4 linked regions of the Diceros bicornis minor genome follow. The protein of the gene in region 4 binds, or shares a complex with, the protein of the main gene of each other region. Links are inferred from orthologs where the notes say so. Each region holds a gene or a part of one and is shown on either strand. Other genes may lie near its edges.

Evidence for each region.
Region 1: CNOT10 (region 4) and CNOT2 share a complex: the UniProt entries of both Homo sapiens proteins name them as parts of the CCR4-NOT complex. The link is inferred for Diceros bicornis minor from reciprocal best matches to the Homo sapiens genes CNOT10 and CNOT2.
Region 2: CNOT10 (region 4) and CNOT11 share a complex: the UniProt entries of both Homo sapiens proteins name them as parts of the CCR4-NOT complex. The link is inferred for Diceros bicornis minor from reciprocal best matches to the Homo sapiens genes CNOT10 and CNOT11.
Region 3: CNOT10 (region 4) and CNOT8 share a complex: the UniProt entries of both Homo sapiens proteins name them as parts of the CCR4-NOT complex. The link is inferred for Diceros bicornis minor from reciprocal best matches to the Homo sapiens genes CNOT10 and CNOT8.

What each region holds. Positions count from the first base shown.
Region 1 is NC_080756.1:1,258,945-1,266,348, reverse strand, and holds the start of CNOT2 (CCR4-NOT transcription complex subunit 2), read left to right. Parts: upstream 1-4,394; 5' UTR 4,395-4,443; coding exon 4,444-4,448; intron 4,449-7,404. UniProt on the Homo sapiens protein: Component of the CCR4-NOT complex which is one of the major cellular mRNA deadenylases and is linked to various cellular processes including bulk mRNA degradation, miRNA-mediated repression, translational repression during translational initiation and general transcription regulation.
Region 2 is NC_080779.1:12,246,027-12,253,414, reverse strand, and holds the start of CNOT11 (CCR4-NOT transcription complex subunit 11), read left to right. Parts: upstream 1-4,378; 5' UTR 4,379-4,503; coding exon 4,504-5,026; intron 5,027-7,388. UniProt on the Homo sapiens protein: Component of the CCR4-NOT complex which is one of the major cellular mRNA deadenylases and is linked to various cellular processes including bulk mRNA degradation, miRNA-mediated repression, translational repression during translational initiation and general transcription regulation.
Region 3 is NC_080740.1:71,228,249-71,235,727, reverse strand, and holds the start of CNOT8 (CCR4-NOT transcription complex subunit 8), read right to left. Parts: upstream 3,012-7,479; 5' UTR 2,906-3,011; intron 1-2,905. UniProt on the Homo sapiens protein: Has 3'-5' poly(A) exoribonuclease activity for synthetic poly(A) RNA substrate. Its function seems to be partially redundant with that of CNOT7.
Region 4 is NC_080741.1:36,557,965-36,565,027, reverse strand, and holds the start of CNOT10 (CCR4-NOT transcription complex subunit 10), read right to left. Parts: upstream 3,011-7,063; 5' UTR 2,996-3,010; coding exon 2,794-2,995; intron 1-2,793. UniProt on the Homo sapiens protein: Component of the CCR4-NOT complex which is one of the major cellular mRNA deadenylases and is linked to various cellular processes including bulk mRNA degradation, miRNA-mediated repression, translational repression during translational initiation and general transcription regulation.

The sequences.
Region 1 (7,404 bases), on a different chromosome or scaffold from region 4:
TTTATATTTGGGGAGATGTTAGAGTTGAACACTAGTATATTTAACCTGTTGCTGACTTTTCTTAAACTTTGGCAACTTAAGGTATCCTGGTATACGTATTAATTAGTGAAATATTTATCACCCTACTGCATAGACTTATTTGTGATCATTACTGTTTTGTTTAAATGGAACTGATATCACGTATCCTCACAGAAAATTTCCAATGCAGTTTTTGAGAACTAAATTAACTATTCGTGTTTAACCAGATAATTGACAGACGGTTTCTTTTTGAAACAAAATGCTTTTTAATTATTAATCAAGTTACTCGCTTTTTATTTATTTATTATTTTTTTTTGTGAGGAAGATCAGCCCTGAGCTAACATTGATGCTAATCCTCCTCTTTTTGCTAAGGAAGGCTGGCTTTGAGCTAACATCTATTGTCAATCCTCCTCCTTTTTTGGTCCCCAAAGCCCCAGTAGATAGTTGCATGTCATAGTTGCATATCCTTCTAGTTGCTGTATGTGTGACGCGGCCTCAGCATGGCCGGAGAAGCAGTGCTTCTGTGCACGCCCGGGATCCGAACCGGGGCCGCCAGTAGCGGATGGTGCGCACTTAACCGCTAAGCCACTGGGCCGGCCCAAGTTACTTATTTTTGATTTCAAAAGCTGCTATGTTTCTGATGTATAATGAACAAATGTGTGTAATTTTTTTGTGCCAGACTTTTGACTATTTTCAAGCACCATGAGATGGATGGTTAGAAACAATAATATTAAGGTTTCTATTTAACCCTTTCAGGACTGAACTGTATCTCTTTAAAATTCTTTTTCTTGTGTTATGATGTTTGCCATTCATATGCTTATGTTTAGCTTATTTTTTGTACCTTGAGCATACTCTACACATTCAGTCCTTAAGGGGTGTATTTTACAAACTGTGTGCTGTAAGGTTTATTAGCAATCAGATAGAAAACTGATTAAGTTTATACTATAATTTTGTAGAAAAAAACCTGCACAGCTCTGTACTTCATCCATGAACAATTTGCAATGTGGGCAGTTTCAAGGAATAAATAAAAATAAAATGTTAAAACAAAAAAGGAATGTAAAAATTTTAAGTTAAACATAAAAACAGTGAGAGCAAGAATTATTGAATAGGATGGAATCAGTTTGCAGTATGGTTTTTAGATTGTTTCTTCCAGACCCATGGTTTCCTTGCAATCTGTATACTTCATAATCTTCACTTTCTTCTGTACTGAATGTATTTTCACTTTAAGTTCTTCAGTTAAAAAGCAGGCTAACACTAAGCATTTGAATGGCTAATGCCATTACTGCTTAAGAAACACAGATAATTCTTTCATTGACCTATCATGTGTATTTATAAATTATTTTCATTCCTGTTATCAATTCAGTATTTAATTCATTTTTCCCTTTAAAACAGATTTCAGTTAATTTTTCACTGCCAGCAAAAATGTATTTGCTGATTATATGTGAGTTTTAAATTGATTTACTATTATGTACTGATTGAATCTGGTAACTTTTGGGGGAGTAATTTTACTTTTTTTTTTTTTTTTGTGAGGAAGATCAGGCCTGAGCTAATGTCCAATGCCAATCCTACTCTTTTTGCTGAGGAAGATTGGCCCTGGGCTAACATCCATGCCCATCTTCCTCTATTTTATATGGGATGCTGCCACAGCATGGCTTGACAAGCAGTGCATCGGTCCGCGCCTGGGATGCGAACCTGTAAACCCCAGGCCACTGAAGCGGAGCGCGTGCACTTAACCACTACACCACTGGGCCGGCCCATAATCTTACTTTTTAAGTGAAAGATATCTTATAATTCATACATAGGCTAGAATAATTAATGTTTTTATTAAGGAAACAGCTTAACCATGTATTTAAACATTCAACCAAGTTGATGTAGTTGAGAAAGCAGAGTTAAAAAGTATTTTGTTGGGCCGGCCCCGTGGCTTAGCGGTTAAGTGTGTGCGCTCCGCTACTGGCGGTCCGGGTTCAGATCCCAGTCGTGCGGCGCACTGCTTCTCCGGCCATGCTGAGGCCTCGTCCCACATAGAGCAACTAGAAGGATGTGCAGCTATGACATACAACTATCTACTGAGGCTTTGGGGGAAAAATAAATAAAATTAATAAAAAAAAAAGAATGTACATAAGGAAGACCTGAGGGTACTGGCTGATGAGTTGGACCCAGGGTGTGAGGAATCACAGAAGATTCCTAGTTTTCTGCCTGAGCAAGTGAATGGACTGTTGGTGGTACTGTTTATGGAAATCAGGAAGACCGTGGGAGATGTTTGGATTCAAACGTTGTTTCAGCACATTAAATTAGAGATGCCTGTCCTTTGTATCCCTTGCCATGATAAGATTTTTAGTATTGTCTACACACTTTGACAAACAGGAGGCCTCCCTTTCCTACAGCTAGTTATGAGTCAACAAACTCATTCGTCCTATTAGGTATACAAGGAATTTACCTTACACACACTTCAAAAACACACAACATCTACTCAGGTATGGACTGTTTTACAAGTAAAAGTTAGAAAATCTATCAAAGTGAATAGGTGAAAAACAAAACAAAACACCATGAACTATCTACCAAATGGGCAAATTTGATCAATACTGGCAATAAAGATGAACTTTTTGATGCAATAGGGCAATTTAAAAAATACAGCATTTAGAGTGCTTAATAGAAAGTCATAAATATAAGCCCTTAACAAATGTTAGCTCATTTAATACCTAGAACCCACCTCTAAGGCAGGTATTAAACAAATTTATATAGATTGGGCACCAGTAACAAGACAATTTAAAACTTGTTCTTTAACAAGGTCTAAAGTAAATTTATCCTAAACAAGCAGTGTCTTCAAAAAAGCAGTAGTCTCAGTGCATTCTTCTTCCTAACACTCCTACCCTACACATTTGTGGTGAAAATGTTTGTTGTTCTGTCTCTTGCAATAAAATATCAAGGTAACAAAGCCCTCAAATTAGACCCTTTGGAAGTGATTTCTCCAATTTCACCAATGTTCATGCTATTTAAAACTTGTGCTTTTTTGAGTAAATATAGTGATGGTAAGAATAAGGTCCAGCTTTTGGTCTTAACAAAGTCCTATACAGGAGTCAAACTAACAGATTAGAATGGTAATACTTGATGCTACTATATGCTTATAAGCATATCCCGTTTTTATCATTCCATCTTATGATTCCAAATATCGAGTTATACTTTCAAATTACTAATCGCTAGATATACACGCTCAGTAGTACATAGACACATGTGCATGTATTCATACACCTATACGTATTACACATACTTAGAGGCAGCGTCAGCCTTTTAACACACATCTTAACAGGGAAGAGAAAGCTCAGAGCAGGAAAGGACTGTGGGGGGCGGGGAGGAAAAGGGAGGGAAGGACATAAGGAAGTGTTGATCCTCCTTGAAGTTTCCTGAAGTAAAAAAGACAGTGAGGCACAATGTTTAACGAAATGAATAACCAGGCAAAACATTTTCTACTGGCTACATCAGCACCATTTGGAGTTTAAATAAATTCACACATCTACTAACATCTCAAAATAGCTTGCCTCCCGTAAACATGACAAAGTCACCTTTTATTTTATAGTATCCTTATTTTTCCTGCTATTTATGAGTGACGGAGGCCGTCTGCCTTTCCATGATAAATTTTAAATTGGATTACAGTGAGTTTTTAGCAGAAGTTTTATTTACTCCACACGAACTGTACTTTACATTAACAAATTCTATCACTCAAACAGAAAGGAGTAACAATGTTCACTTGATGGAACAGCACAATCCCAAGCGCACACGCGGAGGCTCCGCGTCCCAGACCGCCGGGCAGCACCCCGGGAGGCTCACCGACGCTCAGAGGAAGGAAGAGCCGTTACTCCACGGAGAGCGAGCCCACCTCCCCTGAGCGGCAGGTGCTCGTCCGGGGGCAGAGGTCGGCCTCCGCTCCCCCAGGCCCGGCGGCACCGCGGCGGGAGCGCGCCGCTGACCGGGCCCCACCGCCCGCAGGTGCACGGGGGGCGCAGGCGCCGGGCGGGGGGAGGGGGAGGAGCGCGCCGCTGACCGGGCCACACCGCCCGCAGGTGCACGGGGGGCGCAGGGGCCGGGCCGGGCCGGGGGAGGACGGCGGCCGCGGGGACGAGTCCCGCACTCCCCGCCCCGGGCCCGCCCGGAACCCGTGGTCCGCTCGCCGTGACGGCCGCGGAGGAGCCGCAAGCCTCCCGGAGCCGGCGGGGACACGACGAGGACGCGTGGGAGAGAGGCCGCCCACCCCCGGCCCCGGCCCGGCCCGGCCCGGCCCAGCCGGCCCGCCGCTCCCACCTTCCGCCGCCGCCGAAAGCGAAGCCGGACGGCGGGGGTCACGGTGGGGGTCAGAGGGTAAAGGTCCTGCTCCCAGCAGCCTCCGCGGTGGATACGTCGCCATCTTGGATCCGCGGGACAAGAAAATTCATGCGGTGAGTTTTTGGCAAATTTTCGGAAGTCTGGCAGCGGGGCGCGCGGCGGGGGCGGCGGATTCGGGGCCCCGCAAGGCGGGGGAAGGCCCCGGGGCCGGTGCGGGCGCGCCGGGTGCCCGCGTGCAGCGCCCCGGCCCGCCGCTTCCCGTTGCTTTTGTCTGGCTCCAGTCGAGAGGGCGAGCGGCGGCGGGGAGGGGGTGGCGGCGGCGGGCGGGTGCGGGGAGGGCGGGCGGCGCGGGCCGGGCGCGGCTTCGGGGTCGGCGGCCTCGGCGGCGCCGCTTCCCGGGCGGAGGAGCCTGCCGCGAGCCGGCCGGCCGGGCTGCCGCCTCCCGAGCCCGCGGCTCGCGCTCCGGCCCGGCAACTTGTGTGTGTGTGTGTGTGTGTGTGTGTGTGTGTGTGTGTGTGTGTGTGTGTGTGTGTGTGTGAGGGAGGGGGGTGCGGGGGTGCGGGTGCGGGCGGGCCCGGGAGCTCCCGTGCGCGGTGGCCGGCCCGGTCCTGGCGCCGCGGCCGGAGCGCCCGCCGGGCTCCACTTCCGCCGCGGCTGCTCCACCTTCGCGTCTCGGGTCTCGCTCAAAGTTTCGCGGAAGAAGCGAGTGGGGCTCGCAGAGGCCCGCCCGAGTCGGCCGAGGCTCTGCGGTCGGTCTCGGAGGGAGAGCCTCGCGCTCACTCCGGGTGGCTGGGCCTTGCGAAGGCGAGTTCGAGTTTCCTTTCGTAAAAGCTTTTCCAAGAGTTTGCATTTATTCCAGGCCCTGTGGGGACGGTGTTACCACCACCCAGGTCTTACATACGGGTACCACCCTCTCGGAAGGAACCTCAACATCAACTTCCTTCGAATTCTAGGGGACACCTTCACTTTTCAACATCCAGAAGGCCGAATGCAGCACATTTTGTTTCGTTTTCGTAAAAGTGGTCGAAGAATCCTACTCCTTTCTTAATCTTCTGGACGGTTTCTAGTAATTCAGTACCCTGATGTCAACCCTTAGATTCTTGGCGAAATGATAGAAAGTACTGCGTTAACAAAATCTGTTCAGAAGGAGGCCATGCTTGAATTTAGTGTTCAAAGTTGGACACATTTTTTGTCATGCTGGATATCAGGAATTTCTAGACTTCTAGAATCGTAAATGCAACTTTTGATTTGCCTTTTGAAAGAAGCTAAGTGTAAATGATCAAGTATGGGGGGATACAAATTTGAAAAGTATCTATTTACATGCTAAGTTCACGTTGGGTTGTTTGGGAATATTGGGTATATTTGAAAACAGTTGTTTCCCAAACGTCAATGCCCACATCTCTTGCAGTTTTGGAAGATACCTTTATCCTAGATTTGAAGGATTGATGAAGAATCACAGTGGACTGAAATGTTAAATGTTTACATTCTGATTCTTGTCATTGAAATATTTCTTAATGAAGTAAGAGCTTTGGTAGGTTTTTCGTGTTGAACTCCTCTTTAGTTTGTACTTCTTTTGTAATATTAAATCTAAAAGAAAAATACAAAAAACACGTAGAAAAGATAACTCTTGCTCCACTTCTTTCTTGACTTTTTAAGATCCTTGTTTAATTTTAAAAAGGTACGTTTCTCTCTCTTTTTTCCTGAGGGCTTGAATTGCAGTGACTTCTGTGAATACTTTGTATTTTAGACAGCCGTTGAGAAACTTACACACTTTTTGCATCCTAATTATTACTGCATCAATAAAAATAAATTAATGTAAGCATCATTTGTTGGCAGAACTCTTTTGTTCTAAGTATGCTGTATAGAGGTATCTGTAACCTAATCTGGTACTCTTGAGGAATGAGAATTGCCTGTATCTTTAACCAAGCAACAAATACAGCCTTTTAAAAATTTTCAGTTTCTATAATACTTTCGTTTTAAAGTAAATTTATATGGTGGAAAAACGAGGGCAAAATGCATGAGTGATTTATGTTCTCGGTCGTTTGAGAAGTACTTGATCTTGAAGATAAAATAAAACTCAGAATGATATTTCTCCCCAAGAGAACTAATTACCTATGTTTTTACTTAGTAACTTTGGAAGTTTAATTTACTTCTTGATTTTTCAGAGATATTTTACAGTTATAACCTGAAAATTCTCTTTGTTCACAAGTAAATAAAATAGTTGAGATTTATGAATAGATTTTATTAGAAGTGTTGCTAATTAGAAGTGTTTTGGTTTTTATCTCTTCAGTAGGTATTGGTATTAAAAGTACTTGAGTTTTGAAAGACTCGTACAGAATTTTTCACAGCCCGTGGGAAGTTAACAGTTTCACCAAACTTTTTGGTGACAGATTTGCTTCATAAGGTTTTCTGATGATACAGAAAAATATAGAAAAGTTATGCTTCACGTCTATATATGAAATAATGAGTAGACATTAATAGACTAGTAAAAATAATTTATTTTTTGCTCTTTAAAAGCAGTGTTAAATAGTATTTTTTTGATTGTCAAAATTTTTAACTGTAAAAAGTTCACTCTGTTATGAGTACATATTTAAAAGCAAACTTCCCATGTGCTTGCTTGAATAGGCATTTGAGGACAACTTATGCAAATAGTGATACAGTCTTGTAGGAAAAGATACTACTAAATAAGATTTTGTTTGTTACCTAGACCTCTAGTGGCTTTTATAACACAAAGAAGCAAAAGAAACCAAAGCAGCAGGTAGGGCAGTTTTAGAGGCCAAGTTCATCTGAGTTCCACTTCAGTGTTTGAATAGGATTACATACAATATTGATACCAAGGGATCTGGTGCGAAGATAGTAGTCGTTCTGGTGATGATCCTTGCTTACTAAGGATGATTTCTACCTGTGATAGTTAAAGGAATTGAATTTCATTGTGACTTTAATAGATGCTTTGAAAAGAGCTGTACTACAATTGATGTCTGTTGTAGAAAGTCTGCCTTTGAAAAGAAATAGGATGGACATTAGGGTTTTAAGGTTTTATAATTATTTTTTAATTTTTACCTTGGTTTT
Region 2 (7,388 bases), on a different chromosome or scaffold from region 4:
AAGGCAGAGATGAGGGGGTTGTGAAGGAGAACTACCAAGACATATGCTCAGGATAGCTTAGGGCCTCTATTGGATTGAATCATGCCTCCCCAAAACTCATGTATAGCTGGAACCTCAGAATGTGACCTTATTTAGTGAGGCAGTCTTTGCAGATGTAATTATTAAGATGAGGTCATACTGGAGTAGGTGGGCCCTAAATCCAAGGACTAGTATCCTTATAAGAAGGCCACGTGAAACACAGACACACAGGTGATACTGAACCTCTTAATCTCAAGTTTGTGTGCCCAAGGCACAGAAAGCCAAACACCGAGACATTGGTGCTTGGAGACAGAGAAAGGCTCTGTTCAAGTTGGCCAAGACGAGAAGGTGGGAGCACGGGCTGTCTCAAATCTGCCTTCACCAGAGCAAAAAGCAGGGGGGTTTTATAGAGCTAAAGGGCTTGACAGGGGGAGCTTCAGAGAAACAAAGGGGTCACTCCTGATAAGCCCCTGGGCAATCTGCAAGGGCTGCTGGGGGCTGGCCATCTGGTGATCACAACTTCCCAGGAGGCGTTCTCTTTCTTCTGCAAAACAAGCTCTCAAATCCTCTCCACCCAAGTCACCCCTCAAGTTAAACAAGAAAACTGCAAATTGACAAGATTCATCTATGTCTGTGTTGGGAACAAGGTGAAAAAGCAATCATGTTCTTATTGAATATCTACAGTAACCCTCAGGTACCCAGCTCTACCAGGAAGAAGGCCATGTAACTGCAGAGGCAGAGATCGGAATGGTGCAGCTACATAAGCCAAGGGATGCCAGAGACTGCTGGCAACCATCAGAAGCTGGGAGGATACAAGGCAGGATTCTTCCCTGGAGTCTTTAGAGGGAACATGGCTCTGCTGACACCTTCATTTCTGACTTTTAGCCTCCAGAACTGTGAGATAACAAATTTCTGTTGTGTTAAGCCACCTAGTTTGTGGTTATGAAACCAGTAAACAGTTAGCCATTGATGATTAGGTAGCTAGTAACTAAAGTTTTGTTTTGTAATTACTGATTATAGCTTTTAGTTGTTCACCGGTCCATTGTTAACTGCTGTTTAGGCAATACGCTATCTGACTCCCATTAGGTTCCTATAGATAACATCTCTCTAGCACCTGGGTCACCATGGTAATGGATGTTTGAGCTGTTTTTCAGGAATTAGAACCCCTTGTCCACTTCAAGCCGGTTGAGACCACCAACCCACCAACTGGGCCTGAGCAGACGTCTGATAAGTGACCTTTTGATGTCAACAAGCTAAAAATTCCACCCTCGGATCATGCTAATGCCACCATTATGTGAACATGTATCCTATGAAGAAGCCTGAAGTTTGACTACACTTGTGCAGATCATCAATTACCTCGCCTCTCCTCACCTCCAACCATGTATCTCCACTTTTCAGACCAACTTGCCCCCATAAATATCCCTGAATCTCCGTTTTCAGGGCAGCAGATTTAAGACTTGTTCTCCCACCTCCTCACTTGGCTGCCTTGTGATTAAAACTCTCTCTCTGCTGTAATCTCGTTGTCTCGGCAATTGGTTTTCTGGGTGACAGGCAAAAATGACCTTGGTTTGGTAACAGTTACTTGTTACCAGGAAACTAATGCAAGGCCTGAGAGTTGTTTTCAGGGAACATGTAGGAAGTCTGGAAATCTTTTTTTGTTTTTTTTGAGGAAGATTGGCCCTAGGCTAACATCTGTTGCCAATCTGCCTCCTTTTTTCCCCCTTTTTTCTCCCCAAAGCCCCAGCAGATAGTTGTATGTCATAGTTGTACATCCTTCTAGTTGCTCTATGTGGAACGCTGCCTCAGCATGGCTTGACGAGCGGTAAGTAGGTCCGTGCCCAGGATCCAAACTCTCAACCCCTGGGCCACCGAAGCAGAGCTCATGAACTTAACAGCTACCTCACCAGGCCAGCCCCCAGATATCATCTTAATTTTGAAAATGCTCCTATAGGAAGAAAAGTATTTAGTTCTTTTTTGGGGGGAGGGGTAAATATAATGTTCAAATATTTTGAAACATCTTGAAAAAAAGTAAAACCTATTCATGTAGGCTAATTGCTGTAACAAACAGACCTCACAATGTAAAATGGCTCTGTTGAAAAGAAATAACAGGCCCAAAATAGAGGCACTTGTGTTAAGTACCACCAAGACTTAATACCTAACCTAAATACAGTTTCAGCCTCTCCCAGGAATGGAAATTTAAACCAACTGGTCTGGAATTTCCTGATCAACACTAGTGAGGTAATCTGCCTGATAAGGCCTCTTGCCTTCCTCTAAGGGAAGGTGATGTTCAGGCAAAATAACCAATAACCATTCTATAGATAAGAGAGACAGGGTGAGTTTTACTTGAGGCAGGGTGAGGATTATAATCTGGGAAGGCAGTTTCCAAAAAGGAAGAAAATGTTCCAGAGAAGCATGGTTTTCAGTCCAGTCTTATACCTTTTGAGAACAAAGCACATACATTAAACACACCCAAGATACATATTCACCAAAGTTTCAAAGATGTATTTAGTTGCAAATTAGCAGGTCAACATGACTCTGATGTTGGGAAATAGTCTAATACAGCTGTTACCCACACAGCGTAGGAGGAGTAGTATGCATTCTTATCTTAAGAGAATGCATTCTTGGGGCTGCCCCGTGGCCTAGTAGTTAAGTTCGGTTCGCTCCGCTTCAGGGGCCCAGTTTCTTGGGTTTGGATCACGGACATGGACCTACACCACTCATCAGCCATGCTGTGGTGGTGACCCACACACAAAATAGAGGAAGACTGGCACAGATGTTAGCTCAGGGCTAATCTTTCTCAAGCAAAAAAAAAAAAAGAGGATTGGCAACGGATGTTAGCTCAGGGCGAAAAGAGAGTGCATTCCCTAATGGTTAAGCAGATCTACAATGCATGTTTGATAGGCCAGAAGTCAGGCTTCTTTAGTTCAAGCCAAACCAGTTTTAAACCTGAATACTTACCCCATATACCTCAATATGCGAAAATCTCTTGTCAGTAACCTTGCCTGAAATGATCTACTCTTGGTCTCACCCTCATTCTGCCTATAAAAACCTTCCAGGGACCAGCCTAGTGATGCAGCTGTTAAGTGCTCTCGCTCCGCTGCTGGTGGCCCCGGTTTGGATCCCAGGAGCACACCAATACATCGCTTGTTGGGCCATGCTGTGGCAGCGTCCCACATAAAGTGGAGGAAGATGGGCACCGATGCTAGCTCCGGGCCAGTCCTCCTCAGCAAAAACAGAGGAGGATTGGCATGGATGTTAGCTCAGGGCTGATCTTTCTCATGCACACACAAAAACCTTCCATTGTTGTCCAAGTCCTTGGAGCTCCTTTCTACTTGCTAGATGGGATGCTGCCTGATTCATGACTCACTGGATAAAGCCAATTAGATCTGTAAATTTACTAGATTGAATTTTTGTACTTTAACAGTTCAAACACAAGACAGTTTTTTTACTATAGTAAACAATAAAATGAGAGTACTTTCAAGCTAATTGGCAATTTCTCTTCCTTCACTTTTACTTTAGAATTAAGGTGGCGCTTAACTAGATAATTCTTGAACTGCCACCATTGTTGAGCGCAGGGCGGAATTCCCAGGCCTGCCCTGTGGGCACGTTTCTGGAGGTCTAGCTAGGAGCTGGGCAGGTGTGGGAGACGTCACTCGGCCGTTCTCAGCCCCGAGAGCACATTAGAGTCACCTGGGAAAGGGTTTCTGTTTTTTGTTTCCTAATACCTGAGCCATCATCTCCGGGGCAGGGGCCCGGCACCAGCATTTTTAAAGGCTCCCCGGAGGGTGCCCACGCGCCGCCGACACCCAGGATCAGCGCCCCAGGGCAGGCTAAGTCAAAAGTCGCACAACAGTTTTATAAGTGAATATTTATTGGAAAAATTTCCCCGAAATCTCCTTAAAAATAACCGTGTACAAAAGCTCTCGTACAATATGACTCCATTTCCGCAAAAACGATTGTAAGACTGGGAATTAACTTGGGTTATGAGAAAGGATGGTGTCTTCAGTTATTTGCATTTAAAAATTTTTTACCATAAATAGTCATGTGCGGTACATTAAGGGAGCTATTAGAATCTAAGGTGCATTTCTCCCGACAACAATGAAGCCCGCATTTGGGACCGTTTGGTACCAGGCAGTGCCCCGGGGGCTCACGAGCCGTCCTCTTTCCCTCGCACAGGCGCAGACGCACCCCCCGCGCCCGGCTGCCACGCGGGTCTTCCTCCGCGCGCGCCCAAACCCCTGCCGGCGGCTCCCGCCCCTCCTGCAGGCCCCGCCTCCACTTCCGGCCGCTTCGCCCCGCCCACCCAGCGCCGCCGATCCTCTCCCTGGCCTCGCTCCGCGCCGTCCCTCTCTTCCGCGGCCGTCTGGCTTCCCGGCGTGTTTTGTTTGCGACGCTGTCGTGTCACAGCGCGCTTTACGGCCGCGGGGACGGCGCGAGCCGGCGGCAGGGCCACTTCGGCCGGGAAGCAGGACGGGAAGGAGTTTGATGCCCGGCGGCGGTGTGAGCGCGGCGTTTGGCCGGCTTCTCACCGCCGGGGAGCAAAGGGGGGCCCGGGAAGCGGCGGGGTCGACGTCCAGGAGCGGCCCGGGGGGCTCCGGCTCGGGCGGCGGCGGCAGAGGCGGAGCAGGCGGGCCCGGGCCGGGGAGTGGCGGCCCCGGGGGCCCGGCGGGCAGGATGAGCCTGACCCCGAAGGAGCTCTCGAGCCTGCTGAGCATCATCTCGGAGGAGGCGGGCGGCGGCAGCACCTTCGAGGGCCTGTCCACCGCCTTCCACCACTACTTCAGCAAGGCTGACCACTTCCGCCTGGGCTCGGTGCTCGTCATGCTGCTGCAGCAGCCGGACCTGCTGCCCAGCGCGGCGCAGCGCCTCACCGCGCTCTACCTGCTCTGGGAGATGTACCGCACCGAGCCGCTCGCCGCCAACCCCTTCGCCGCCAGCTTCGCGCACCTGCTCAACCCCGCCCCGCCCGCCCGCGGCGGCCAGGAGCCCGACCGGCCCCCGCTCTCAGGTACGCCGGGGGCGCGCCGCCCTGCCCCCGCCCGGTGCGCGGTGGGGAGACTTGGAGTCACCAGTTTTCCACCTGCGCTTTTGGGAATGCACCCGCAAGTGAAATTATCTCCTTTTGAAATCCGCCCCCTCGACACTACCAAGTGTGGAGAAATGGGAGCTTAACGATCAATTCATGGCACCGAAAATTATTCCTCGCAACGGTACAGACCGTGAAATCATGTAGCTCAGTGTGGGGCTTGACATTTTTAGTGCTTCAAATACAGCTCTTGCTTGTAAAGCCCGTCTGAGGTGTGTAAAATTGTAGCTGATGACACAGTGGATCTGCCCCTGCTTTTCAGTCTCAGAGGAGTAAATAGAAGTCGTTATTCAGAACCCGAAGAAGTTGTTGGACGGAAATACACATTAAATAGCGGTTAAGGACTTTGCAGCCACCTTTGTTGGGCTGCTAGGTATACTTGGATAATGTGATGGGGGCAGAGGATAGAAGGTAGTCTCGTTCACCGCTTAGATTAGAAAACGCATGACTACTGGACGTTATGTCAAATACAGCACTGGTAAGATCTGATCAGTGGGTTCCGTCCGAGGCTCCCTTTCTTTTTCTTTTGAACTCAAGCAAGAGATACTATGTGAGACGTGACTTGAGGAGAAGACTTGCAGCCAGGAGGGGAGAAAGGCACAGAGGCGATGGTGATGAGGGATAAATGTACCTAGAAGACTTAGACAAGGACCAGTGTTGTAGAGGAAGCAGGCGGAGGTGGGAAACAGCTTGATCTTACAGTACTTAACCAGTGGGTAAAAGGGCAGGTCACTCTATGGGTAGGGGCTGCTATACAAGGAGTCAAAGGTTAAGGTAGCGGATTTTGAGTTAATAGCGGAGTTTTTCGCAGCGCAGGAGGGCTTCTACATTATAAGCCGGCTGGTGTTCTGCCTGGCATCCCCTCTGGATCTAAAGCGTTTTCTCTTTGGTTTTCTGCATTGCTCTTATCAAAGGGGCAACCTTTGTGTTGGATGAGATGCCCTTAGGGTACAAGTACTGAACCTGGCTTTCAGGAAGTTTGAGAATGCCCAGAAAGGGAATGCAGCATGTGTATGAGTGGTCAAAACCTACCACCCTGGGGTGCCCTTACCAGAGGATGGGGACAGTGTGGGATTTAGGTCAGAGGACCCTTTGAATTCTGAAGGACAGGTTAGGAAAAGGACATATAATGTCGCTTTCAAATGCAAGGAGTCTATACCCAGATGTAGTCCATAGACTGCATTGTAAACACAAATTTGCCAGAGAAGGAATCCATGGATTGGTTATTTTACCTGTGTCTCAGTTTCTTCATCTGTAAAATGCAGATGATAATTCTTAGCTGGTAGAGTTATTATGAGGAATAAAAGTATCTATGATGAATGTTACCCATTATTATCATTACTTTTATTAAAGGTAGGGACAGTGCTGAAATACACAGCCAAGGGAGTATCAATGCCAAGGCTTATGATACTGTACGTGTAGGGTGAGCATATAATGGGTATATTTTTAATAAGTTTTTCAGATGATTCTAACGCAGAGCCAGAGTTGAGAATGTATCTGGAAATAAATAAGATGGCTTCTCAGCTCTCAAGAAGCTTGTGTTCTGGTTGGGGAGGCGTAAACATAGGATGCAGTGTGGTAAGGGCTGTATGTAGTAGGTGTCTCAGAATGCTTGGGAGCACAGAGGAACGTCTACCTGCATAGCTTGCGAGATTCTCAGAGGGAGTGATGTTTTTGGTGGATGTTGATTAGAGATGGGGGGTGGTTTGGGAAGGATGTGGCCCTTTATTTCTTTTATTCTGTTTTTTTTTTCTTTTTTTCTCCCCAAAGCCCCCCAGTATATAGTTGTATATCTTAGTTGTAGGTCCTTCTATGTGGGACGCTGCCTCAGCATGGCATGATGAGCGGCGAGTAGGTCCGCATCCAGGATCCGAACCGTTGAACCCTGGGCTGCCGAAGCAGAACGCGCAAACTTAACCACTGCGCCACCGGGCTGGCCCCTATTTCCTTTATTCTTAAAGAACTGGGTGTATTGGATGTTTAGAAATCAGGAATCAGAGAAGCTGAGAGATTTTGTGCAACTGGAGTGTAGGATACATGGATTGGAGGGGAGTTCAAGAGATGGGATTAGGACAGTGGGTCAGAACCAGATTATGAAGAGCCTTATAATGGTGCAGAAGTTTGGGTTTAATTCTGTGTTAACAGGTTAAGTAACATGAGCAGATTTGTACCTAGAAATATGATTAAATAGTAAGTGGGAGTCTGGACTGTGGGTCAAAACTAGGCCGGAGTCAAAACTGGGAGCTGGGGAAATCAGGAAGGCTGTCCTGTAGTTGGGGGCAGG
Region 3 (7,479 bases), on a different chromosome or scaffold from region 4:
AAAACTATGACTTTTTTTTTTTTTTTTTTTTTTTGCTGAGGAAGATTTGCCCTGAGCTAACATCTGTTGCCAACCCTCCTCTGTTTTTGCTTGAGGAAGACTGTCCCTGAGCTAACATCCATGCCAATCTTCCTCTATTTTGTATGTGGGTTGTCACCACAGCATGGCTGATGAGTGGTGTAGGTCCACATCCAGGATCCAAACCTGCAAACCCAGGCCGCCAAAGCAGAGCGTGCTGAACCCAATCGCTATGCCATAGGACCAGCCCCACTATGACTTTTGAGACAAGCAGAAGTCTGAACAACGAATGGCTGGTTTTGGGTTTTTGTCGGGGTTTTTTTTGTCTTTTCTGCTTTTTTTTGGTGTTATAATATATTGCAATTATGATTTTTAAAAGAGAGTCCCTGAGCCAGCCCTGATGGCCTAGCAGTTAAAGTTCAGCGTGCTCCGCTTCCGTGGCCTGGGTTCGGTTCCCAGGAGCAGAACCACACCACTTGTCTGTCAGTAGCCATGTTGTGGCGGCAGCTCACATAGAACCAGAAGAACTTACAACTATACACAACTATGTACTGGGGTTTTGCAGGGGAGAAAAGGAAGAAAAAAAGGAGGAAGACTGGCAACAGACGTTAGCTTAGGGTGAATCTTCCCCTGCAAAAAAATTAATTAATTAAAGAAAAGAGAGTCCTTATGTTTTAGAGATAATGCAAAATACTTATAGGTGATATGATATGAAATGTGGGGTTTTGCTTCAAAATAACAGTAGACAAAACTCCTCACAACTTTGTACAGTGTTATCTTCCTCCACATTTTACTGAAACTGAAATTCAGAGACATTAATTTAAAAAGGCAATATCATGACTTTCATTTCCAAGAGAATTTTTTTTAAAAAGCCAACCACTGTTACAAAGCTAACGATTGTTATACATATCTGACAAATGGGGAATGCAAAAGCAGACCACTGGCAAAAATATATGACATTCTTGCACCAAATCCTTATCTAGGAAAATCGTGAGGAAATAAACAATAGCTTGCAAGCCCCTAAATGTAGTGCCACTCAGGAACTAAAGAGGACACACCTTATGTACATTTAACTTAGCATAAATTACTGGATATGCTAGCCAAAAAAGAGAGAGAAGTAATAATAATAATGCTGGCAATTCTGCCTGCCGCTTTCCACTCAGTGAGCACATACTCCAGAGCGAGCCTAAGATGGGAACCAAAAACATACTGTTCCCCTTGGTTCCTCTTCCTCCTCTGAAGCCTCTCAGTGCCAGCATCTCATAGTGCACTTCATTGTGTGGCATGACTCTACCCCATTCAAATATGTTTATTTCTTCAACACAGCCCCTAAAAGTAACCGAATTACCCTATCTGAGTTACAACCAAAGAAACAGTGCGAAGTTTCAAAGCTCAAGGAAAAACTGACTATGCTGGATTTACTGAGAAACAGAATGGCCTTCTCCAACTTTGCACCTTCCTAAGGAATTTTTAAGGATAATTTTGATCGCATGCAATGTTTGCCTCACAGGTTGACTTTAAAACTTGACTCCACATGAGCTACCCCACGCTATAAAAACTTGACTCGCATATAAGCTACTCTACTCCATATGAAAGCACAACACAAGCCATAAACGATACTTGTAGTTTCCCAGTAGTACGAGACTGTGCAAGAAGCTGTCTCTCTTGTATGTGTATGAGAATACACATACACACACACAGTAGTACGAGACTGTGCAAGAAGGAAAGCTCTCTCTCTCGCTCTCATTCTCATACACATATACACACACACACCCCTACGAATTACGGAGGTCCCTGGCAATCTGTTCAGAACGCTCCTGATGACCTAGAAACTTTTCCAAAACAAAGCTCCTTATTTACCCTGAAGAGCAACTAGTGATAAAGCCACTCGAAAGTGTTCTCTGCAAGCAATCCAGGGTGCCTGGCCTGACTTGGGGAAAGAATGTGTTGTTTTTCTGGTTCTGTTTTGTGTAAGCCTAAGTATGCAAGGGCACAATAAACATCACTTCCCCATTCTAGAGGACTGAACAAAGGCTTTGCTGCGAGGGGATAAGATGAAAAAGTAAGCAGCAGCGCGTCAGAAGAAACGGCAGCTGCTTGAAAGAGGGTCCCCTCGCTACACGGCAGGCGGGCCCCGGCCGCCGTCCTCCCCTCCCTCCAAAACACAGCGTCCGAAGACACTACCCCGGACTGAACCACAGTCCAACCAGTTCTTAGAACCACCCACGTGGCCCAGCCTTGTGAGCTGGCTCCTAAAGAGCAACGGTGCTGTTTATAAACCCACAAAACAGCAAGGAAAAGTTGTGGGGCCTCAAGAACCAAGGAGGGGGAGGCCCGCGAGGTTCCAAATTCAGGTCCTCGCTCTCCCTCACGGTCTCCCGCCATCCTTCTGTTCCCGTTCTGGATCACGCTCCCACTTCAAACCACACTCGTTCCTCCCCTCCTCCTAACCACCCTTCTTTCGTTCTTTTTTCCTTTTTTGTAAAGCAAAGATATTAAAATATCACGCATTAGGGCCCGACAGACGTAAATTCGAAGCCAGGCCACCGATTAGCTGTGAGGCTTTGCCTAAGTTACTTAACCTCTCTCGTACCTCAGTTTTCCTATCTTGTAAAATGAGTTTCACAGTATACACCTCGGAGGATCGCAGTCGAGGTTGAACAGAAGGCTGCATATAAGGTGCTTTGTAAAGTCCTGGCACATATCACTAGAATATTATTATCGTGTGGTGGTGGTCGTTATTACTACTACTATTCGATGGACCTCTTTCCCTTCCCACACACCCTGCCCCTCCCGCACGCTCCCACCCCCCTTCCTCCCGCAGGCCCCGATGGCCTCCCACACTCTCATCTCACGCTCCTCTCTTTGGTAAGCGCGGCCCGCTTACCCTGACCGGCAGGGCCCGCGAACCGCGGGCTGACGGGCGACTCCCGAGCAGCTGCAGCAACAGCCCCTAATCCAGCGCTCCCCTCCTGCCCCGGATCTGCTCCTAGCACCGAGCGGGCCAACGAGATGGGCGCCCTGGTGCCCTGAGCGGCCTTACGCACAGCCCACCAAACAATCTGGCCCGCACCTCTCTATCCACCCAAGCCTCCCGACTCGCCTGCTCCCTTCGCAACACTCCAGACGCGCGCGCGCCTGAGCATGCCCGCTCCTCCCCTTCTGCGCGCCCCGGCGATTCCGTACGTGTTCGACCAGCCCTTGAGCTCGCGGGAGCAATTGCGCAGGCGCAAAACCAAGCGGGCGCCGCGAAAACGACGGGGCGGGGCAGCCTCGGAGGACGCCTGAGGAACACAGCCCTCCCTAGGCTTCCGCGCGGTTAGTTGCGCTGGCTCAATTCAGTCAAGATCGCTACCCCTCCATGTCGGTCCTCCTTCCGCGCGCCAGGGAAGGGGCGTAGTCTAGAACTAGGCTCCCCTCGGGTGGGCGTGGCCTAGGCACACGAAAGGCCGAGGAAAGGGCGTGGCCCGTCTGACCGAATCTCCCAAATTACAACGCTGCCTCCTCCCTACTTTGAAGGACCGTTAAAATCCTTGGCAGGAGCGGACTTAGGGGGAGAGCCTGACCCCTTCCTTCTATACTACTGCGGCCCCTGGGCCCCTCATTTACAAAACATCTACCTCACGGCTTCCTTTCTGGCAAATAATTAGTTGGGAGTGGGGCAGCACCCCAAACCGAGTCTGAGCAACGTCCGCCAAGGCCCGCCTCCCTCCTCCCCGCCTCCCAGAGCCGGGCGAGCAGCGTTACCATAGCAGCCGGCCTGCCTGGGCCCGCTAGAGTTACACGGAAGGCGCGGTCTCACCGGGGGGCAGCGCCCGGCCAGCGCAGGCGGAGCCAGGCCTGGCGGCCTCTAAGCAAGGTCGCAGGTTTTCGTTGCGAGGGTACTGGGGCCCAGGCCTAGCCTAGGAGGTCCCCGAGGCCCCCACCCGCCCCTTAATTCTCTGTGAATCTGTTTGGAAAGAGGGTTCTTTGCCAGCGCCTGTTCTTGGCGGCGTTAGACCAGGCTCGGATGCAACGCTGCCTCGTGTTCCCCAGAGTGGGAGAGAAGACAAAGCACTGGCTTCCTCGCACAGCTGTCAATTCCGGGCCGCCCTCAGTCACTCTCGGAAGGGCTCCACCCCGTCCCCGAGAGAAGGAGCAGACGGCCCAAAGCTGGGCTCTGGTCATAGCCCTAGATGCTTTCACTTGAAGGGGGCTGTTGGTAAGTGTATAGCAAATTTACCCCCAAGTCACTAGGCTTTCCTCCTTTTAAACATTTCCCCCTAGGGGATTCTCCAAAATCCTACTTTCATTTCCGAGGCTGGATGCAGAGCATGCCTTCAGCGGCGATTTCAAACCGGACTCCCTTTAAAGCTATGCTCCAGGGAGGTGAACTCCCACTCCCAGCCCCCAGGGGTGAACCTCACTCTTCTCCCCTCCAAGTGAGTGTCTGTCTCCTTATCCGTAACATGGGGAGATGAATAACAAAGCGGCTGTGTTAATAAATGGAAAAAACACCCGACACTGAGGAAGATATGTAAGTGTATTCGATAAATAATTGTTTCTGGCCTGTCTCAGTTTGTTATCCCTGAGATACTCAATGTTTGTTCACTCTGCTGCACATTTAATCATTCTGGTAAGCAATGTTGTGATGGAGAAGGCAGGCGAGACACTACCCCCCCACCCCACCCCCCATCCTGTGGGTTTCTGATATCCTTTCACCCACTTGTAATTAGATTCAGGACAGGATAGCCCTATCACTCACATAAAGAGCAGCCTCCACAATCCTTTCTTGGAATTTTTTCTTTTTCCTGTAGCACTGGGCCTGGTGTGCACTGAAACAAACAGGAGACACACCATCTCCACCCCTGCAAACCCCACCCGTCCCAGAACTCGGTGTTCATTTCTCAGGTTATTGAAGATAAATGTAAAACAAACACACAGATGGCTTGTATTTCAGGAGGCTTGGAGTGCTTGTTTTAAACAACAGATTTTATGCTGCAGTTATGCTATTGCCAAGTTAGAACAGTTGTGTAAATCACTGATTCTTAGTGGGAAGGAGGCCCCAAACGAATGGAAGGGTAGTTGGAGAAGAATATATTCAATAATATAACTTCACATTTGGGGAAAAAAAAAAAACTATTGTTTTTGAACTACAAACTGTAGAAAGTAAGGCTTGAACATATCTTCTCAACTGGGAGGGTATAGGCTACAAAAAATTGAGAAACACTGATTGTAAAATGGGTCTCCTTAGGAACCAGATGGGGTGATATCCTTGGCCAGCCAAGACTTTCTGTTATTCCCAATTCTAAATAAATCTCACAGGATGCATTTCTTGAAGTATAAGATGTGTAGGAAGATAAAATCTAAAATATATATTTGAGTTTCGAATATTTTGAAAATGGAGAAGAAAGTAAATGCCTCCAGGCATATAGTACCACTAAAAATCACCCTCTGAGCCTGTCTCAAAAACCTTCATATTCCTTAGTGCGCTGACACACCTAGCTGCCTGTCACCTGATTAATTCCATTGTTAAAGTGCCCTCTCCAAGCTTAGCCCAGGTCTGTCATTTTGTATAATGTTGTCTTTTACCAGACTATGTATTTATCTTTAAGTTCAGCTGAAGAATGCATGCAGCTGGCTTTTTTCTTTGGTATAGTTGCAGTAACTTCCTGCCTTTGAAGTGTGTTGTTCCTGCTTTTCCTACATAGTAGAAAAACTTTCTTCTGACTCTTGAAAATTATCAACAGATCATCAAACTTCCCCTAAATATAAATCAGAGATCATGTTTCATGACTAAGCATTTGAGTATTATTTTGATCTTTTGATTGCAACCTGAAAAATCTTCTGATTTCTGGAAAGATGAGAGATCAGAGTTCATTTTTTAGAATACAGAAATAGATATCAAATCTATTGTACTCTTATCTCGTTTGATTTTCCTTCTCCCTTAGAATCTATGAAAGTAACAACATTTCCAAATCTACTGATAATAATCATAGACCTTTAAATTTCCAAAGCTGAGAGTCAGTAAGGATGTTCTAACTAATACATTCCCCTAATTTCACAGAAAGTAACTAAATAATTTAAGGTCACCCAGCTCCTAGAGATAGGATCAGGATTTGAGTCTTCTGATGCCCAGTCCAGTATGGGATTAGGTGGTCATCCAGTCAGTTTTATTTGTGGTCCATTTGCTATGGGCGGGACCCCATGTTGACAGTGGGGGATGCACTGATGAATGAAACAGAATGAAACAGATGTGGTTCCTGGCCCGGTGGAACTTAACATTTGGTGGCAGAGACTGACAATAAAACAAGCGAATAAACATTCAGGTAAGAAATAAAAGGATAATGAGAAATTTTGATAGCTTTCATGAAGGAAGCTAATGGGGTAAAGTGACAGAGAGCAACTGGATTGGGGGAAGATAGGGGAAATTACTTAGAGGTCAAAGAAGGCCTCTCTAAAATGGTGGCACTTAGGCAAAGATGAGAAGGACAAGAAGGACCGACCGAAGAGAGAGAGAGAGCCATGAGAAGTTGAGAGCAGCAAATTTCAGACAGAGGTTAAGAAATGAGTTTTGCATGTTAGAGGTGGTAAAAGGAAGTCGAGGCGGCTGCGGAGACCAAGAGGCTGAAGAGGAAAGCAGAGGCCTGGTGAGCCAAGGTCTGGGAGGCTTTAAAACTGTTCAGAGTGCATCAGGAAACCAGAAGGATTTTACTCACAGGAATGATCTGATCCCGTTTATGTTTTTAAAGATTACTTTGACTTTTATGGGCAACAAATGGGGTAAAGGCAGAGACATTTTAATTTTCTTATTTGAATTACACTAAATTTGGTAAGAAAAGAAAGCTAGCTTCTCCCAGGCATGGTAAATATGTTGCCTATGGAAATATCAGGTGACAATTTAGGTAATTTTACTAGGTGATTCCGATTGATAATTAGTTGCCAATGCATCCTTTCGATTGTTGTTATTGTGAAACCCTTCAAGGCTGCTGGGTATTCAGTACTTTACAAAGAAGAAAGTTGATCTCTGCCAATACAGAGCTAGGCAAATGGAAATATAAGCCAACGGAAAGAGAACAGGTAAGCACACTAATGTAGATAAGAGTAAAACTTGCCCTTTGGGACACTCTAGTCTGTTCTAAAGCTCTCTTCTCTCGCTCTTTCTACGTCTCCCTGTACTTGCATGTGACAAACCCATCATCTCTGGTGTCACAGCCAGATCTCAAAATCCTCTTTGATTTTTTTTATATGACCAGCATTGAGAATCTTCTTTTGAACTTCTATAACATTCTGTAATGTTCTAGGAGCAATGGGGCCCAAAGCCTTCGGAATATCTCTTACATTTCTAACCAGATGTGGGTTTGGGGTATGGGATAAAGAATGTATTCCAGAAAATTGGTAAACACAATTATAAATCTCACCTCCAGATTATCAGACATTAGAAGTGGGAGGGGCCTCAGAGATCCACTAATCCAACCAACT
Region 4 (7,063 bases):
GAACGTGTATTCTTCGGTTTTTGGATGGAATGCTCTGTATATATCTACTAGGTCCATCTGTTCTAGTGTGTCATTTAAGGCCAATGTTTCCTTATTGATCTTCTGTTTGGTGATCTATCTGTTGGTGTAAGTGGAGTGTTCAAGTCCCCTACTATTATCGTGTTACTGTCTATTTCTCTTTTTACGTCTGTTAATAATTGCTTTATATATTTAGGGGCACCTACATTGGATGCGTAGATATTTACGAGTGTTATATCCTCTTGTTGGATTGTTCCCTTGATCATTATGTAATGCCCTTGCCTCTTATTAAAGTTTTTGTTTTAAAGTCTATTTTGTCTGATATGAGTACTGCTACCCCAGCTTTCTTTTCATTGCCATTTGCATGGAGTATCTTTTTCCATCCCTTCACTTTCAGTTTGTGAGTGTCTTTAGGTCTGAAGTGTGCCTCTTGTATGCAGCATATATATGGGTCTTGTTGTTTTATCCAATCAGCCACCCTGTGCCTTTTAATTGGAGCATTTAGTCCATAGACGTTTAAAGTGGCTATTGATAAGTATGTACTTACTGCCATTTTTTAACTTTTTTTTTCTCAGTGTTTTAGTAGTCTTTCTCTGTTCCTTGCTCCTTCCATACAGAATTGATGGTCTCTTTAGTTTGACCTCTGTCTGAAAGCTCCACTCTTTAACTCCCTTCCTCCCTCATTTTATGTTTTTGATATCAAAAAACCTCTTTTTTGTGCATTTGTATCCATTACCCTCTTATCATGGAAATAGAGAATTTTTCCTATTTGTGGTCTTTTCTTTTCCCCTTAAATCAGTCCCTTTAACATTTCTTGTAGCACTGGTTTCTTGGTGACAAACTCCTTTAATTTTTGCTTGTCTGGGAAATTTTTGATCTCTCCTTCCATTTTGAATGATAACCTTGCTGGGTAGAGTATTCTTGGCTGTAAGTTTTTTCCTTTTAGCACTTTAAATATATCGTGCCACTCTCTTCTAGCCTGTAGGCTTTCTGTCGAGAAGTCAGCTGATAGCCTTATGGGGTTTCCTTTGTATGTAACTTGTCTTTCTCTTGCGGCTTTTAGGATTCTCTCTTTAATTCTGGACATTTTGATTATGATGTGCCTTGGTGTGGGCCTCTTTGGGTTTATCTTGATTGGGGCTCTCTGTGCTTCCTGTACCTGGATGTCTGTTTCCTTCCTTAGGTTAGGGAAGTTCTCATCTATTATTTCTTGAAATAGATTCTCTGCCCCTTTGTCTCGCTCTTCTCCTTCCGGGACACCTATAACACGGATGTTAGTGCGCTTGATGTTGTCCCATAGGTCCCTTAGACTGTCCTCACTCTTTTTAATTCTTTTCTCTTTTACCTGTTCAGCTTGGGTAATTTCTTCTAGTCTTTCGTCCAGCTCACAGATCCGTTCTTCTGTATCCTCTACTCTGCTTTTGAGTCCCTCTAGTGAATTTTTCATTTCCAGTATTGTATTCTTCATTTCTGATTGGTTCTTTTTTATATCTTCCATTTCTTTGTTGACATTCTCACTGAGTTCATCTGTTCTTCTCCCCAGATCAGTGAGCATCCTTAACACTCTTTGTTTGAACTCTCTGTCAGGTAGGTTGCTCATTTCTGTTTCACTTAGTTCCTTTTCTGAGGTTTTGTCCTGTTCCCTTACTTGGAATGTATACCTTTGCCTCCTCATTTTGCCTCTTTCCCTGTGCTTGTGTCTATGTATTAGGTATGACCAGTTACTTTAAAATGTGTAAAAACAGGACACCAGATTTCAGGACCCCAGAAAGCAAAGTATGGGTTTATACTGAAGCAGAACTCTCAATTCCATGTATATTATTCATCATAAAATTTTAACAATGAACATAATACTTTAAAAATTTTAGCAGAGACTGGGCCTTGGCATATTGGTTAAGTCTGGTGCATTCTGCTTCGGCGGCCCGGGTTCGTGGCTTTGGATCTCAGGTGCAGACCTACACCATTCATCAGCCATGCTGTGGCAGTGATCCACATACAAAGTAGAGGAAGACTGGCAGAGATGTTAGCTCAGGGCTAATCTTTGTCAAGCAAAAAGCGGAAGACTGGCAACAGATGTTAGCTCAGAGTGAATCTTCCTCACCAAAAAAAAAAAAATTTTAGGAAACCTAAAGTGTTTACAAAATTTATCTTCCCTCATAAGGAAGTACACTAAACTTAAACCAAATACCAAAAATTGTTAGTTTGCCATCAAGATATCTCCATAGCTTTTTTTAAAATATACCCTCTCTAGATTAGATGACATTCTTTAATGGGACTTCTGGGCCCAACTGTCAAACAGTGATTTAAATACAAGGTAGAGGGAAACACCCAACAATTCAGCAAGGCATTAAAGAGTTTAAGCTTCTCCTTTCCATTGTTATCCTCTAGGAACAGTAAAAGTCTCCTACAATCTTCCAGGAAAGGAGAGAAGCCAAGACAAATATAAATAAATAAATAAATAAATAAATAAATAAATAAATAAGCAAGCTAGACTCTAAGGCTGACAAGAGACTCTGAAGTTCCCTTTTCTATAGACATTTCAGAGAACTGAGCTCAATAAACAGCCTTTTACATGTTAACCAACCATTATTTTACCTATGTTCTTTTACATCAAGAGAAGCTTTAAAAAAAAAAAAACTCCAATGGGATTACTATTTTTATTTTCTTTATCTGTCTACACTTCTCAAGTTTTCTGCAAAGAATGGGTATTATTTTTGTAATCAGTTTTTAAAATGTTTTAAAAACATACATTTTTAGTAACTGCTGACTTCTTACCAGAAAGAGTCTGCACATAATCCCACAACGTGTCTTTATTTGTCCAAAAGTAGTCTCCATTGCCAATTGAAAGAGTATGTGAGCATTCATCCATAAGCTTGACTTTCCTTCTGCTCTGGCCTAATGAACATGACTGACCTTCTAGGCGTACAGAGCTCTTTGGTGCACAAACCTTGACACTCTTTAAGCTAAAAGGCTTCATTTCGAACCAAACAACTGCCTTTAGGTTTGAACTAAGTAGAAAAGAAACACACTGCTTTTTCAAAACTGAAAAACGTCAGTTAACCGAAAGCACAGACACATTCCAATATAGAATGTTAACAATGCAAATCTGATTGGAGGAAGGTCTTCCATATAAGCTACGCTTGTCAAAATATAGCTCCAACGACGTTCAAGAAAAGAAGTTTTTTCCAAAGAAAAAAGGAATGTTAAGGCCTAAGGAGATCTGCCACACTCACAAAACAGTACTAATGTCTTTATGAAGGAAAGTTTAAAAAAAGAAGGACGCCATTTCCAAGAAAAATAAAGCACCAAAGTCACCATATAGCTAAGGTTCACACACCTAAGCTTCACCCACATGGTTTTCTACCACTGAACAAGTTTATTTGACTTGATCAAAACCCTACATAAAATGGCTAATTTCTACACAGCTCAGAGAAATAACACGTGACCAGCAATGCTACAGACTTGAGCACCCTGTCCAGCACTACAAAAATAAAGGAAAAGAATATCAAAAATCAAGAATATCAGCATGCTTTGGGGAAGACAGGCAAAGCAGGACACTACCACTGCCCATGAGTATTTTTATTTTCATATCTGAGAGTAGTTTTTATGCATAGAAAAGAGATTTACTCTAGTTTTCAAATATTAATACTTGATTTATTGTTACAAATTCAAAAAGCCTAGATTTTCCTCAAACTTTTACATTCAACTTAGACATCTTATTCTATTTGGAGTTTTAATTTTAAAGGGCTGCAATGAATGTTTGATCTCATTTACAAAGTTAAACACCTTCAAACATATAATTTTAACTGCTTTAAATAATATATTTAATTTTAAGTACAACTGTTTGATCTAAAAAGACAAAATTTTCTGAGAACTTAAGTAATTTATAAATCTAAAAAATTAAACTGATGAAAATAGTGACTCAGGAACTCTTTAATGTCTATGCAATGATATCAATATAGCAAGCTTTTAACTTAAGTTCACAAGTATAAATCAATTATTCACTCAATTATACATTTCAAATTAGAATCAAAAGACCAATAAATTACTCTCAATTCTTAAACATTAAAAACACTTAAAATATCAAATGTGGGTCACTATTACATCAACTTTTTATTGTGAAAACTAGTAAATGAAAAGGATGAATTAAGTTTTAACACGCCTTTCTGGGAAGAATCACAGTTCATTCCCAGTTGATAAGGGACAGCTATTCTTTACAGAAACTAGCTAATAAACGTAGACAGTAATAGAACTAAGAGAAGTACCATTCTGCAACTCTCAAAGACATAACTGATTAAGGCAATGATCATCAATGTTGGAATGCTTACATAATGCCAATTACCCCACAGATTACTTCTAATTGCAAATGGAAAAAGATGTTCCTCTCACCACCTTAACAAACTGATCAAATTTAGCATCACTAATAGTGGACAAACTGACATTATGCACTTTTTATATAAAGTATACAGCAACAGCTACAAAGTATCTTGCAAATATGTTAAATCTAATCAGGCCCTTAGAAACAACTTTCAGTTCACAGAAAATACAGGAAATAAGGAACTAATTAAAGGATACAAGGAAGAAATAATCAGATGAATCCAGTGGGATATTCTACAAGAGAAGTGACTTAGTCTCTTCAAAAAAAAACCAGGTGACACTGGGAATTAAGAGACTCAAGAAACATAACAAAATACAATGTATGAACCTTGACTGGATCTCAGTTTGAAAAGCACAGCTTCCTTACAGCTTTAAATAACATTTTTGGGACAACTGGAGATATTCAATATAGTATAAAAATATTAATCTTCTGAAGTACAATAATGGTATTGTGGTTATAGGTGAATGTCCTAATTTTTAAGAAATGCATGGTGAAATATTTAGAGATAAAGTGTCATGATGTCTATAATTTATTTAGAAAAGCTGTAGCTAGAGACAGAGGAAGTAAATATGACAAAATGTAACAACTGTTGATCTAGGTGGTGGGTATATGGATATTCCTTTTATTTTTTCAATTTTTTGGATGTCTGAAATCATTTGCAATAAAAAGTTGAAAAAATATCAAATATGCATAGATTCCTAACCAGACCCTGAGAAAAGTGGATGGCAGGACAGTATTGCATAGTTTATTTCCTCATCTGCACATATACATTTTTAAGTCAATGTGAGCTTGGGTAGGCCTAGAAGAAGTCTAGAAGAACACACAATTCAGTACTGGTTACCTAGAGAGTGAGACTGGGTAGGGGTGATAGAGGACTTAATACTTTTTACCGTATACACTTAATAATAATAATCAGTTTTGGGTGTTTTAAATAAAATAAAAATAGCCTTGGCTTAAAACTTTCTCATTTGTACTTCCTACCATTTTTATGGTCATCCTGGCTCAAAATTTCAAAGCCATCTTTTTTTTTTTTTTTTGTGAGGAAGATCAGCCCTGAGCTAACATCCATGCTAATCCTCCTCTCTTTGCTGAGGAAGACCAGCTCTGAGCTAACATCTATTGCCAATCCTCCTCCTTTTTGTTTTTCCCCAAAACCCCAGTAGATAGTTGTATGTCATAGTTGCACATCCTTCTAGTTGCTGTATGTGGGATGCAGCCTCAGCATGGCCGGACAAGCGGTGGTTGGTGCGCGCCCGGGGTTCCGAACCCAGGCCACCAGTAGCGGAGCCCGCGCACTTAATCACTAAGCCACGGGGCTGGCCCCCAAAGCCATCTTTAAGTAACCCTCCCCTGATTTCATATTACTCATCAGGTCCTATCTTTCCCTTATTCATAATGTTATCAACCTTTTCCTATTAAGCCTACTACGGCCATGCTCATAGTCCAAATTCTCAGATAAATTCAAATCTAGGATTTTGTGTCCTAACTCCAGCCACTTTCTCCTTTCAAATAACCATAAAAAGTAAAGTCAAACAAATCATCCTAAAACATTGTTGGTACTTCCTTAGTCAAAAATGATACTGGTTTCACACGACTTTTATATTTTATACAAGGACATGAACCTTGTGAACCTTCCACTGCCCCTTCAATTTCTGTCTTTGGGTGGTGTTCCATCCACCCTGGGACATCCCTCCCTTTATGGGTTGCTTGAAATACAACTCAGGGTGTGAGAACTGCTGGCTGATCAGTCACTGAGAAGCCACACAACTCAGAAGCACAGGTAAATTAGTTCCCCATGGGGTGAAGCCTTGACGGTCTGGAAACAGGAAATGAGAGGAAGCTGGACAGATAAATAATCCCTTCTTTCTTTCTCATATGGACTACTCTGAAGTGTAGTTTTGCCTCGAAACCCTTTCAGAAAAGTCCCATACGCAAGTGACCTGCTATGTCTCTTAGCTCAAGGTGAAACAGTTGCCAGGGATGTAATGTACTGCATCTTCCTTTGCCTTACCTTCCTTCTCTCCCTCATTTTCACTACCCTGGGCTTGCAGCTCCCAAATAAAAAGTCAGCCACTTAATCGGGTTCTGCTTCCACAAGGATATGAGCTAAAAGGTACACATTACCTCAGCTGATGCTCACAAGCTACAGCCCTGTGAGGTAAATAAATTAGAAAGCTATTAGAAATAAATAAAAAACCAGTAGAATCCCCACTTTACAAATGAAGAAACTGAGGCTCAATTAAGAACTTTTCCCAAAGAGCAAGGCTTTCTGCTCACTTACTATACCTAAGCAGTCACAAATTCTGCCAATTTTACACCCTAAACATTTCTCACATCTGCCTCTCCTCTCCATTCTACCACTACTCTAAAGTAATACTAGCCAGCATTTCAAAAATCAGGGCCTGAGATGATCTCATTTAACTCTTTACCAACCCTGTGAGGTAGATACTATTATCATTCTCATTCTACACACAGGAAAGCTGAGGCTTAAGTGTTCTTAAAACTTGCCCAAGGTCACACCAATATCAAGTGGTACAGCTAGGATGAACCCAGCTGTCTGATTTCAAACCTCATGCTCCTAACTCTTCATCAATTCTCATCTAGCTCAGTTAAAACATAAATCAGATCACATCATGCCCTTGTTGAAACCTCTGTGGCTTCCCACTA